3 linked regions of the Macaca mulatta genome follow. The protein of the gene in region 1 interacts with the protein of each later gene in a pairwise test. Links are inferred from orthologs where the notes say so. Each region holds a gene or a part of one and is shown in the gene's direction. Other genes may lie near its edges.

What was found.
Region 2: the proteins of NDEL1 (region 1) and TRAF3IP3 interact in binary tests that used the Homo sapiens proteins (3 or more experiments, as listed by UniProt). The two-hybrid records come from large-scale screens. The link is inferred for Macaca mulatta from reciprocal best matches to the Homo sapiens genes NDEL1 and TRAF3IP3.
Region 3: the proteins of NDEL1 (region 1) and MIS18A interact in binary tests that used the Homo sapiens proteins (3 or more experiments, as listed by UniProt). The link is inferred for Macaca mulatta from reciprocal best matches to the Homo sapiens genes NDEL1 and MIS18A.

Annotation. Positions count from the first base shown.
Region 1 is NC_133421.1:9,937,970-9,942,222, forward strand, and holds the start of NDEL1 (nuclear distribution protein nudE-like 1), read left to right. Parts: upstream 1-1,386; 5' UTR 1,387-1,396; coding exon 1,397-1,486; exon of another isoform or gene 1,487-1,518; coding exon 1,519-1,578; intron 1,579-4,253. UniProt on the Homo sapiens protein: Required for organization of the cellular microtubule array and microtubule anchoring at the centrosome. May regulate microtubule organization at least in part by targeting the microtubule severing protein KATNA1 to the centrosome.
Region 2 is NC_133406.1:67,516,919-67,520,569, forward strand, and holds part of TRAF3IP3 (TRAF3-interacting JNK-activating modulator), read left to right. Parts: intron 1-633; coding exon 634-781; intron 782-931; coding exon 932-989; intron 990-1,181; coding exon 1,182-1,206; intron 1,207-1,476; coding exon 1,477-1,506; intron 1,507-1,605; coding exon 1,606-1,701; intron 1,702-3,651. UniProt on the Homo sapiens protein: Adapter protein that plays essential roles in both innate and adaptive immunity. Plays a crucial role in the regulation of thymocyte development.
Region 3 is NC_133408.1:15,075,624-15,079,274, forward strand, and holds part of MIS18A (protein Mis18-alpha), read left to right. Parts: intron 1-1,746; coding exon 1,747-1,869; intron 1,870-2,493; coding exon 2,494-2,590; intron 2,591-3,177; coding exon 3,178-3,258; 3' UTR 3,259-3,651. UniProt on the Homo sapiens protein: Required for recruitment of CENPA to centromeres and normal chromosome segregation during mitosis.

The DNA of each region.
Region 1 (4,253 bases):
GGGGCAGGGTGCGGTGTCTCACGCCTGTAATCCCAAAACTTTGGGAGGCCGAGGCAGGCGGATCAGGAGTTCGAGAGCAGCCTGGCCAACATGGTGAAACCCCGTCTCTACTAAAAATATACTAAAAATACAAAAATTAGCCGGGCGTGGTGGCAGGCGCCTGTAATCTCAATTACTTGGGAGGCTGAGGCAGGAGATTCGCTTGAACCTGGGAGGCAGTGAGCTGAGATCGCACTGCTGCACTCCAGCCTGGGCAACAAGAGCAAAATTCCGTTTCAAAAAAAAAAAGCAAAATGGATTGTAAGAGGTATATATCTAATATATAATGTATATACTATAATGTATATAGTATATATTATATAATATATAATACATAATTGTATAATATATTACATATTATAATACATATAATATACAGCAAAGTTCTTAAAATTGTTTTTAAAATGTATCTCTTATATAATATATAATATATAAAATTATATATAATATATAAATTTGTGAAATTATAAATTTGTGAAATTATATATTATATATAATAATGTATATTATATAAAATATATAATATATAATATATATTTTATAGATATATGTTATATATTATATAAAATATGTTATATATATTTTATAAAATACATAATATATGTTATTATACATATATAAATGTAGGACTCCATTTCTTAGGGGCCTTGGAGGGGAGAAAGTCACACCCATACACACATGTACACGCATGTATACAAAAATGAATATATGCTCAGATATATACAATATATAAATATATTTATATATACAATATATAAATGGGCAAATATAAAATCCCCTTGGTGCCAACGAATCCATTCATTCATCAAATATTTGAGCGTCCACTTTGCCTAGAACCAAGTTATCTGTTGGGATGAGCAAGGCATAAAAGGTTCTAGCTCTCATAGAACTTAGAATTCTACTGGAGGAAGATGAGAACAAATACAAAATGTAAGCAGTGCAAGTGCTGTAAAAACAACACAGAGCTTTGTGGCAGTGATGCTTAGAATGCCCCTGGTGTTCCATTGGGTGTTCAGGCAGGGGGAATGGACTCGGAGGTGAACTATGAGCCGAGATTCGTTTTATAAACGGGAACACTGACACATGGACACTTGAAGGGCCTTGGTGGCCGGAAAACTGAAGGCACGTTCCCATCCGTCTTGGAACCACTCTCCCGAATAGCAGTTTCAGGGAGCTGCTGAAGCCATAACCAGCCGGTCTCAGAGTCCAAGAACGCCTGCGCAAAAGGACGCCGTCAGCTTGACGTCAGCGCGCCGGGCTCTGGCCCGCCCCCTGTGGCACCAGCCCCGCCCCGCCCCGCCCCGCATACCCGCGGGCTGCCGCGCATGCTCCGAGCCCCGCCCCCGTGCGTCACAGAATGGCCTCGGACACCCAGGCAGTCCCTGACGTGTCGGGGAGGAGCCGGGAGCGGAGGTGCGCGGAGTGGAGCTCGGGGCTGCGGAGGGGAGCTGAGCCGAGCGGCTGGGCGGGCCTGGCCAGGCCAGCGGAGCGGAGACGTGGGTCGAGCGGCGGCGAACATGCGCTTTTGACACATTGGAGGTGAGCCTGCACCGCGGGACCTCTCCCTAAGGGGCTGCGCTGGGCCGGCGGCGCCGAGGCCTGCCCTTGGGGAGCCTTCCCGGCCCGGGGCCGTGTCTGAGGCTCCGCCGGGGCGGGCCGGGCCGGGCCGGCTTCTGGGGCGGCCAGCCCAGGGACAACTGTTCCAACCGCTCTAACTGTCCCCTCCCTTCCCTGGTCCGACGTGTGGTCCCCCCAGGGGCGCCTGCAAGGGAACGATCCCTGTGGCCTCCGGAGGATGTGCCCCGTTCCGGGTGGGGTGAGGGCTGGCGGTGACGGAGGCCGGGACGTGGCACCGTGGGCTGGGGCGCTGGCGGCGCAAGGAGTGGCCCAGTCGGAGGTGGCAGCGGCGCGCCCAGCCTGCCGCCTCCTACCCCCTCCCTGAAATTCCTTCATTTGCGAGGGTGTCTTGAAGCGGGGTTGCATTTCGATCTCTCAGTGCGTCTCTCCCATGGGGGGCGAGAGCGCGAGCAGCCCACGTTGGGCTCGGATTGGCATTCCCCTGACTCCCGCCCAGAACTGCTAATCATCCTCCCCTTGGAGTTCGGGAAAGTGTCACGAACGGGCTCGGGTTACCTGTGCTCGACTCTTTTCGAGCTGTAAGCCACGAGATGACCCTTTAAGTTTTGCAAAGCAGGTGAAAGTTCTATCCCTACTAATTATTACGTTCTATTTACGTAGCACCTTTACACGCTTCAGAACTCTCTTCCTATCTCTTTCAAACCGCATCACCTTGTGGTTGCAGCTGATTATGTTATCGCCATTTCGATGGAGAAATGGAGCTGGAATGGGGGTAATTGATTTATACTTAGGTTCAATCAACTGGTGAGTGGCTTAGCTTGGATCATAATTTACATTTCTAGGCTCGGAGTTCTGGTTTCTTTTCGTGGGATTTTTATACCCTTCTCAGCTAGAAAACAAGGCAGAAAATGTGACTTGCCAAAGGTATGCCAGAAGCTGGTTGATTACTTACTCAATTATTTTTGAGCAAACTCACCTAGGATAAAAACTGCTGCTCAGTCATGAGAAAAATCTTACTGTGAAGCTTGTTCAGGAGTTGCTGGTTAACATTGTGTCAGCTAAACTGTGTTGCTCTTAATGTGCTTAAAAGACAGGGTAATGTCTTTGCTAAATCATGAAGTTGATGGGCACAATGCAGCGTTAAGTCATGGCCTGAAGAGAAGTAAAGGGGAACCAAGTGAAGTATCTCTTCTAAATTATTATTAAAATTATTGTTATTTAAAATTAGAGTGCATGAGAAACAAAACCTTTGGCCAGCCCTGGTTAGAGGTTGACTTGATCCAGATGGAAGTTGTTAAATCTTCTGAAACTGTAGTTGTTTTGATTTTTTTTTAAATTAAATAGATTGAAGTTGGATAAGGAGCTTAAAATAAGTAGGAACCTTAGTAAAACTTAGATCCTGCTTTCATGAGATCTGCAAAACAACGTATTTTCATTGTAAACCATGCTGAGATAAATTTGGTTACTAAAGCTTAAAATTACTTCTGACGTAAGTTTCTGAGCACTCCATAAAGTAGAAAAAGAAGTCTGATAGAATCAAAGAGAGACCATGTTTATGATCAACTTCGAAGAGTTAAAAATTCTGTAAATGTCACCTTTGAGAGCAGTAGAATTTCGGTAAAAAGGCATGTATTACCAACATACCAACATGTAATTACTCCAGCGTCATTAGTCCATCTTAGAACTGTTAACCAGAAACAATATTGAAAATAGATTTTCTTACCATTATGCAAAGAGTAATTTCCTTGTAAATAAAAGGCATTTTGGACAGGCTGTTTTCAATTCAAACGAGTTGATTGTTGCTAGGTTTCTGAAGGTCATACATTGTATGATAATGCTTTCCGTAAAAATTGTCATGCTTTTGAGACTCTGTCCATATTGAGACCTGATGTTAAATAAAGATGGGGTGGGGGTGGGCAGAGAATAATAATTTTTTTTTTTTTTTTTTTGATGGAATCTCCCTCTGCCGCCCAGGCTGAAGTGCAGTGGCACGATCTCGGCTCACTGCAACCTCCACCTCCCAGGTTCAAGCGATTGTCTTGCTCAGTCTCCTGAGTAGCTGGGATTACAGGTGCGTGCCATCATGCCCTGCCAGTTTTTGTATTTTTAATAGAGACAGGGTTTCACCATGTTGGTCAGGCTGGTCTCGAACTCCTCACCTCGTGATCTGCCCGCCTCAGCCTCCCAAAGTGCTGGGATTACAGGCATGAGCCACCGCGCCCTGCCAATAATACATAATTATCTATCTTCATTCTAGCTTCAGAAAATTGTGGATGTACCATTAGAGCATTGTTTTAGCAATGTGTTTTCTATATTGGCTAACTTTCTATAGCGTGAAAATCTCTAATTATATAGTTTCAAATAACAGTGAACACATCCTCCCAGTGTAACTTGAAGCAAACTGAACAGACTGTAACACAGTCCCTGAAACTGTTATTTGAGTATCTGCAGTGGTAGCAAATTTTATTATTTGTAAATAATCTGATTTTTGTTTTCATTTTTTTGGAGACAGGGTCTCATTTTTGTCACCCAGGCTGGAGTGCAATGGAACGATTACGGCTTACTGCAGCCTGAACTTCCCTAACTCAAGCGATCCTCCCATCTCAGTCTCACGAGTAGCTGGGACCACAGGTGCA
Region 2 (3,651 bases), on another chromosome or scaffold:
ACAACAACCACAACTAGAGATTCTAGAGAGAAAAACTGGAGAAAAGTACAGCTCCACATATGCCTGGCCTGAGGAGGACCATGCCTGCCAGTCAGGACAAGGATGTCAGGAGCAGGAGAAGCCCGTGTGGCTCTGAAAGCTTGAGTGGGCTACTTTCATTTTGTGGACCTGAAACATTGTCCTTGTCCTGTAATGAATTACCACAGACTGGGTGGCTTAAATAACAGAAATTTATTTATTACAATTCTGGAGTCTGGAGGTCTAAGACCACGGATCCTGCAGATCTGGTGTCTGATGAGAGCACTCTTCCCACTGTGCAGATGGTCTTCTTCTCATTGTGTCCTCACAAGGCAGAGACCAGAGACAGAAAGCAAGCTCTCATGTCTCTTCTTATAACAGCACGAATCCCACTCATGAGGGCTCCCTGCTCTGAGTTAATTATTTCTCCAAGACTCCACTTCCCAATACTATCACATTGGGAGTTAGGATTTCAACACACAAATTTGGGTGGGGGGACAATAAACATTCAGTCCGTAACAGACATGATGGTTGGTTCTTCCTTCTGAAATCATCAAGAGAATCTTTCAAGAGGCTCCAGGCAGTGGTTTTCAGCATTCCCCACTTGCCTTCCAGGTGGCAGGCACCAGCTCTGAGGTCCTTCCAGCCCAGCATCCTCCTCCCTCAGGCATCTGCAGGGATCTGACTGACCACCTCTCCTCACAGGCTGGGGGCCTTCCTCCACAGGACCCTCCCATCAAGAAGCCACCCAAACACCACCGTGGTAAGAGCAGAGCCTCCCTCACTCCACAGGGCCTGCAGAGAATCCTGAGACAGCTGTCCCAGCTCACTGGCAATGGAGAGTCCCTGCCCCTTCCCACTTCCCTCATTTCCTTCCCATAAGTTCTAAATCAACTTATCCTCTATCTCTCAGGTACTCAGACAAAGGCAGAAGGACCAACAATTAAGAATGATGCCAGTCAGCAAACCAAGTGAGTTCCTGACCCTAACCCTCTCACATCCCATTCATTCCTCTCTAGAGAGAACACAATGAATTTTCATGTCCACCTTAATTAAGAAAGAGGAAGCCCTTCCCCACCCTACTGGCTCTTCAGAAGGGATTTCTGCCTCCTGACTTGATTCTTTGGTCCATTATCATTATTTTTAATTTCTTCTCTTTCCAGTTACGGAGTTGCAGTTCTGGATAAGGTAAGCACATATTCACTTTGAAGGGGTCGAATCAGAAAGTATTAAGCTCTGACATTCTGGAATTCCACGATAAACTTGGCTGGGATGGAGGGGCATCTTCTTCCTGGATGGCAAGGAGGTACTGAGCATAGACATGGGGACTAAATGGACCCTGTCAGAGCCAAAGCAGAAGAGGTTTGCTCTACACAAGCCAACCCAGGTGTAGGTTTTATGTCACAGGGTTTCAGGGGACTTAGAGACATTTTGAATACCCTTGTTCTTTCTCTCCAGGAAATCATCCAGCTTTCTGATTACCTCAAAGTAAGTGGCATGTGACCTCTCCCCTCAGTTCCTCCACCCACCTATCCCCGATCCTCCAGGCTAATCTTACCCTCTTGCACTTTGTTCCCGCACCCCCAGGAGGCCCTACAAAGAGAGCTGGTCCTAAAACAGAAAATGGTGATTCTCCAAGACCTACTGTCCACTCTGATTCAGGCCTCTGACAGCTCTTGGAAGGTAAGGGAATGAAATTTTTTTTGAACAAAACTCATGGGCTTCTATGTGTTCCCATCTCATTTTTCTTTCCATATCATCACAGTAAGAGAAAGGGTTTTGTCACTACTGAAAAGTGAGCTGGGAAGAGGCAGAAGATGAGGGTGATGGTGCTCAGACCTAGAAGTCAAACAGGTCACAATAAATATATGGGTCATCACCTGAGGGTCATGGTGCTACATATCCAAGGAAGACCCAGAACCAAAAGTGGCAAGAATTCCCATTTTTTAATTTGTTGGAAGGAATGAAGGAAGACCCCAACATAGTTTATATTACTGAATATGGTAAATGCCAAATATTTTTGTATGGGATTCACACCGATATTTATCCAAACTAGCATGCCATGTACACACTCAGTCCAAATGAAAATATCAGAGTGGGAAGGGACCTTAGAGACAGTCTGGTCTAATACTCTTATTTTGCCCAGGAGGACACTGAGTTTCATAGGGGTCAAGTAACTTGCCAAAAGTCACACAGCTAGTTAGTGGCAGATCTGGAGCTAAAATTCAGGCCTTTGATTTCGGTCCATTCAATGTACAATATTCATAGGTTATGTCCTCTATACGGAACACTGGACTAGCACTAGAAATAATGAGATTATTTAGATAGGGTTCTTGCTTTGAGAAGGCTCATGGTTTTGTAAGAAAGACACATGACTAAACAATACAAAAACATGAAAAATAAAAGAAATGTTTTCAAGATATAGGAAAATACAAGAAGGAATGAGTGACTCCAGAGAAGAAAAGAGCCAGGGGAATGCTTATATAAGCATTTGCCAGGAAAATATAGAAGCAGAAATAGTATTCTAGTTGGGGTACAGGCAAAGATCTAAAGGCAAGGCCGGGCATGGTGGCTCACACCTGTAATCCCAGCACTTTGGGAGGCCGAGGTGGGTGGATCACCTGAGGTCAGGAATTCAAGACCAGCCTGGTCAACAGGGCGAAAACCCGTCTCTACTAAAAATACAAAAGTATTAGCTGGGTGTGGTTGCACATGCCTGTAATCCCAGCTACTTAGGAGGCTGAGGCAGGAGAATCGCTTGAACCAAGAAGGCGGAGTTTGCAGTGAGCTGAGATCACCTCATTGCACTCCAGCCTGGGCAACAGAGCAACAATCCATCTCAAAAAAAAAAAAAAAAAATTAAAGGCATGACACAGTCTAATAAAATGGTTCTCCAATTTTTTTATTTCAGGATTCCTTTATACTTTTTCAATTATTGAAAATATATAAGAAATGTTTATATTTACCATATTAGAAATTAAAACAGTTGGCCAGGCGCAGTGCCTCACACCTGTAAGTCCCAGCACTTTGGAAGGCCAATGCAGGAAGATCACCTGAGGTCAGGAGTTAGAGACCAGCCCAGCCAACATGGCAAAACCCTGTCTCTACTAAAAATACAAAAATTAGCCAGGCGTGGTGGTGCACACCTGTAATCTCAGCTACTCCGGAGGCTGGGCCACGAGAATCACTTGAGCCCAAGAGATGGAGGTTGCAGTGAGCCAAGATCGTGACACTGCACTCCAGCCTGAGTGACAAGGCAAGACTCCCTCTCACAAAAAAAAAAAAAAAGAAAAGAAAAGAAAAAGAAAAAGAAAGAAGAAAGAAGAAAGAAGAAAGAATTTAAGACAGAAATTGAGAAAGAATTATTAATTTTAAAATGATAGTAAAATATTTCATGCTAATCTAAATTACATGTTTTAAGAAAAACAGTCTGGGCACAATGGCTCACACCTGTAATCCCAGCACTTTGGGAGGCCAAGGCAGGCAGATCACTTGAGCTCAAGAGTTCAAGACCAGCCTGGGCAACATGGCAAAACCTTGTCTCTACTAAAAATACAAAAAATTAGCCAGGTGCATTTGCATGCACCTATAGTCTCAGCAACTCGGGAGGCTGAGGCAGGAAAATCTCTTGAG
Region 3 (3,651 bases), on another chromosome or scaffold:
GCTTTAGAAGTATGTTGTGAAGGTAGCAGTGCTGTTTTCTCTCTTAAGTCTGACTTTGTCCTTTGTTGAGGATCTTACAATCGGATTATTCCTTGTCTAACATTACCTTACGATTGTTGGCACTGCCTTCTCAATGTTAGTGTTCGATGACAAGGGTGAATTCTGGCCAAATTCTTGCCAACTGTGAAAGCAGAAAGATGCTGCCTTAATAGTAGCTACCATCTCTTCATTGTTCCACAAGATGATTCTAGAAGTGTGAATGGGTTTTTTCCTATTTTTGGTGGTGTTTAGGTTGATTTTGATAACTCAGGATAAAACAGTCTTATTCATGGCTCAGTGTGTTTGGGGAGTTCAAGCCTCTGGTTTCTCTGAGTGTCCTTTCTTGGCTGATGACATTAGATACAGTTTACAATCTTGGTAATGGTGTGAGGCGGTCTCATAATGGTAATGAGGTTTGATATATAGCATGGAGGTTTGCCTGTTCACTGTGAGTAATTTAAGTGGGATTTACTAACATACTTTTATATTTCTTATATAAAAACTTGTACAAGCTGGCTGGGTATGGTGGTTCCTGCCAGTAATCTCAGCACTTTGGGAGGCCAAGGTGGAAGACTGCTTGAGGCTAGGAGTTCAAGACCAGCCTGGGCAACATAGTGAGATTGTTTCTACTATAAAACTAAAAAAAGTGTAGAAACTTATAAAAGCCCGTAGACACTTAATATGTAATCAGTGGCATATTATCCAGCTAATCACATCATCAGTGAGAATTCCATTTTGTTCTTTGATCCATATGTTGCTGTAATAATTAACAGTGTCTCAGTATCTGTAAGTAAACAATGATGTAGTCTGTAATCTGTGAGTCTTGGGTAGCTCCCTTTTGCTTGATAGCAGGAATAGATATTTTGTGATTACAAGTATTTCATGTACTGAGTAGGAGATAATACTTTTGCAATAATAATCGATTGTGGTGTATGTTTTACTACTGTGATCACTACTGGATTGAAATCTCCAGTCATCACTTTGCTGTGTGTTGGAGTGGCAATTTTAGTGTATTTATAGAATGGTAAATTTGGATGGGTCAGTTCAACAAGGCGTTTGAGAGACACTGGATTCTAAGCCGGGTTTTAAGGAGACATGAGTAGGCTTTAGGGGAGGGTATATTCAAGTGTGTGGAACCTGAGTTGAGAGGTAACTAGAATGAAGGAACAATTGCATGGGTTGTCATCTAACTTTTTTTTTTAAATTAAGACAAACAGTATTACTTTCCACTAGAGCAGAGTTTGGTAAACTATGGCCCATGGGGAGGGCACTCATTTGTGAATACGAGTTTATGGGAACACAGATTATTCAGTTAGTATTGTCTATAGGTGCTTTGTTTTACAATGACAGAGGTGAGTAGTGACAGACACCATATGGCTGGCAAGCCTAAAATATTTATTCTCCACTTTGTTACATTAGTACCAGATTGAGGAATTTATATTCTAGAAAAACACCACCTCGATATCCTCTCTTGTCACTTTTTTATATGTCCCTTGTTATTTGATACTTAAGGCATTGTGACTTGGAGATGACTGTCTTTACATTTTTATTGTAAATATATTACTATCATTTTTTCCTATCCTTTATGTATGACCTAGTGTGGTCAGAATAGCATACTTTAGAAGCTGAAGTGTTTATGGATTTTAACAATGAGATTAGAATGAGTTGCTACTTCGTTTCCTAAAGCAAGGCGTTTCTTTATTGCAGCATCCTGGAGACCTTGTATTGTGCAGGGTGCTCGCTCAATCTTGGCTACGTGTACAGATGCACGCCCAAGAATCTTGATTATAAGAGAGACTTGTTTTGCCTCAGTGTTGAAGCCATTGAAAGGTAAGTTTGATATATAAATGTTTACCTCACAACTGGTGTTTCAGAAAGTTAAGTTTGCAGAGAAATTGGCACGGAAGTGTCCGAACTAAATCAATACTGTTTCGTTAAATATATTTTCAAGTAATGATTTCTAACAAGCCAGTAATTTTTTTTTTTTTTTTTTTGCTTTGACCTGCTTCTTTATTTGGTATTGGAAAAGTCAGACACTCTAAATTGTAGGAGAAAACACTGTGAGAAATTTTTTTGGAATAAAAGTATATTCAGTTGTTTTTAAAAATTGAATGTAGTTTAGTAGGATTTTGCCCACCGCCCCTAGCTTTTTATTTTTATTTCTTTTAAAACTTATTTTTTTAAGATCTGGGGTCTCACTCTGTCACCCAGGCTGGAGTGCAATGCTGTGGTCATAACTTTCTGCGTCCTTGAACTCCTGGGCTCCAGCAATCCTCTTGCGTCAGCCTCCCAGGCAGCTAAGACAACAGGCGTATTGCCTGGGGTCTTGTGTTGCCCAGGCTGGTTTCAAACTCCTAGCCTCAGATGATCCTTCTGTCTCAGCCTCCTGAATAGCTGGGAACAAGTGCATGCCACCACACCAGGCTTGTATTTTAACCTTGTATCGTACGTCAGTTATGTTTTAGGGTCCTCTGAAAAGCAAATTGTGTCAGAAGATAAAGAGCTTTTTAATCTTGAAAGCAGAGTTGAAATAGAAAAGTCTCTAACACAGGTAATTTTATTCTGTACGTTTTGTATCTCTGTATGAACAATTTGTCAGTGAAGAAGTGCTTCCCCACAAACGATAATCCTCATAACGTCATCTGTCTTGATCGCAGGAAGAGTGTGCCTGTTTCATTTCAGGTGTTAGTAAAGTTGATTTTTGGGGAACTCAAATGAAGCTAAAGCTTAATCAACAAAATAATAAGGAAGACATTTCATGACAAAATCAAAACTATGTATTCTAATTTTGCTAAGCTAGAAATACATCTTTGATTCAAATCAGTATTTTGTTTGCTTCGATTCTTGTGGTATAATTAGCCTTGTTGTTGGATGTTAACATTTTGTCATGGCCAGATAGGTGAGATGGTGATGATTGTATAAAAGAGATGCAGATTGTAGGTTGAGAACTAATGTTGATAGAATTATGCTTTATTTTTAAAAATTTATGCCTGCAAATAGTTTTGGTAAACACTGAATATCTACCATGTAATGTATGATATATCCAAAATTGCATTAAGTGTATATCTTAATTATTTTTAACCATGTATAATTTTAAATGATATGTGTGTTTAATTTTTTATTTTTTCAATTCAATAGATGGAAGATGTCTTGAAAGCATTACAAATGAAGCTGTGGGAGGCCGAATCAAAATTGTCCTTTGCCACTTGTAAAAGCTGAACTCTAGTCTGTGTCCTCCATTCTGCCCCCGCCCTTCCTCCCCTTATTTGTTAAATGAAGCAACATACTGAGACGTCGTCTCTACAAAAAAAAAAAAAAAAAAAAAAAAATTAGCCAGGCATGCGAAACGCTGAGGTGGGAGGATCACTTGAGCTTGGGAGGTCGAGGCTGCAGTGAGCCTTGATCATGCCATTACTGCATTCCAGCCTGGGTGACAGACTGAGACCTTGTCCCCCCGCCCCGCAAAAGAAAAGACCCCAAAATTGTGGAATTACTTTTAGCTATATTTTATGGTAAAAAGTGATTGTTTCTCAAAATCCCATTTTAAAGCCGTTTTATGGTACTTGTTGGAATTAGGACTTAGGAGTTTTGATTTTGATAAGAAACTGGGAT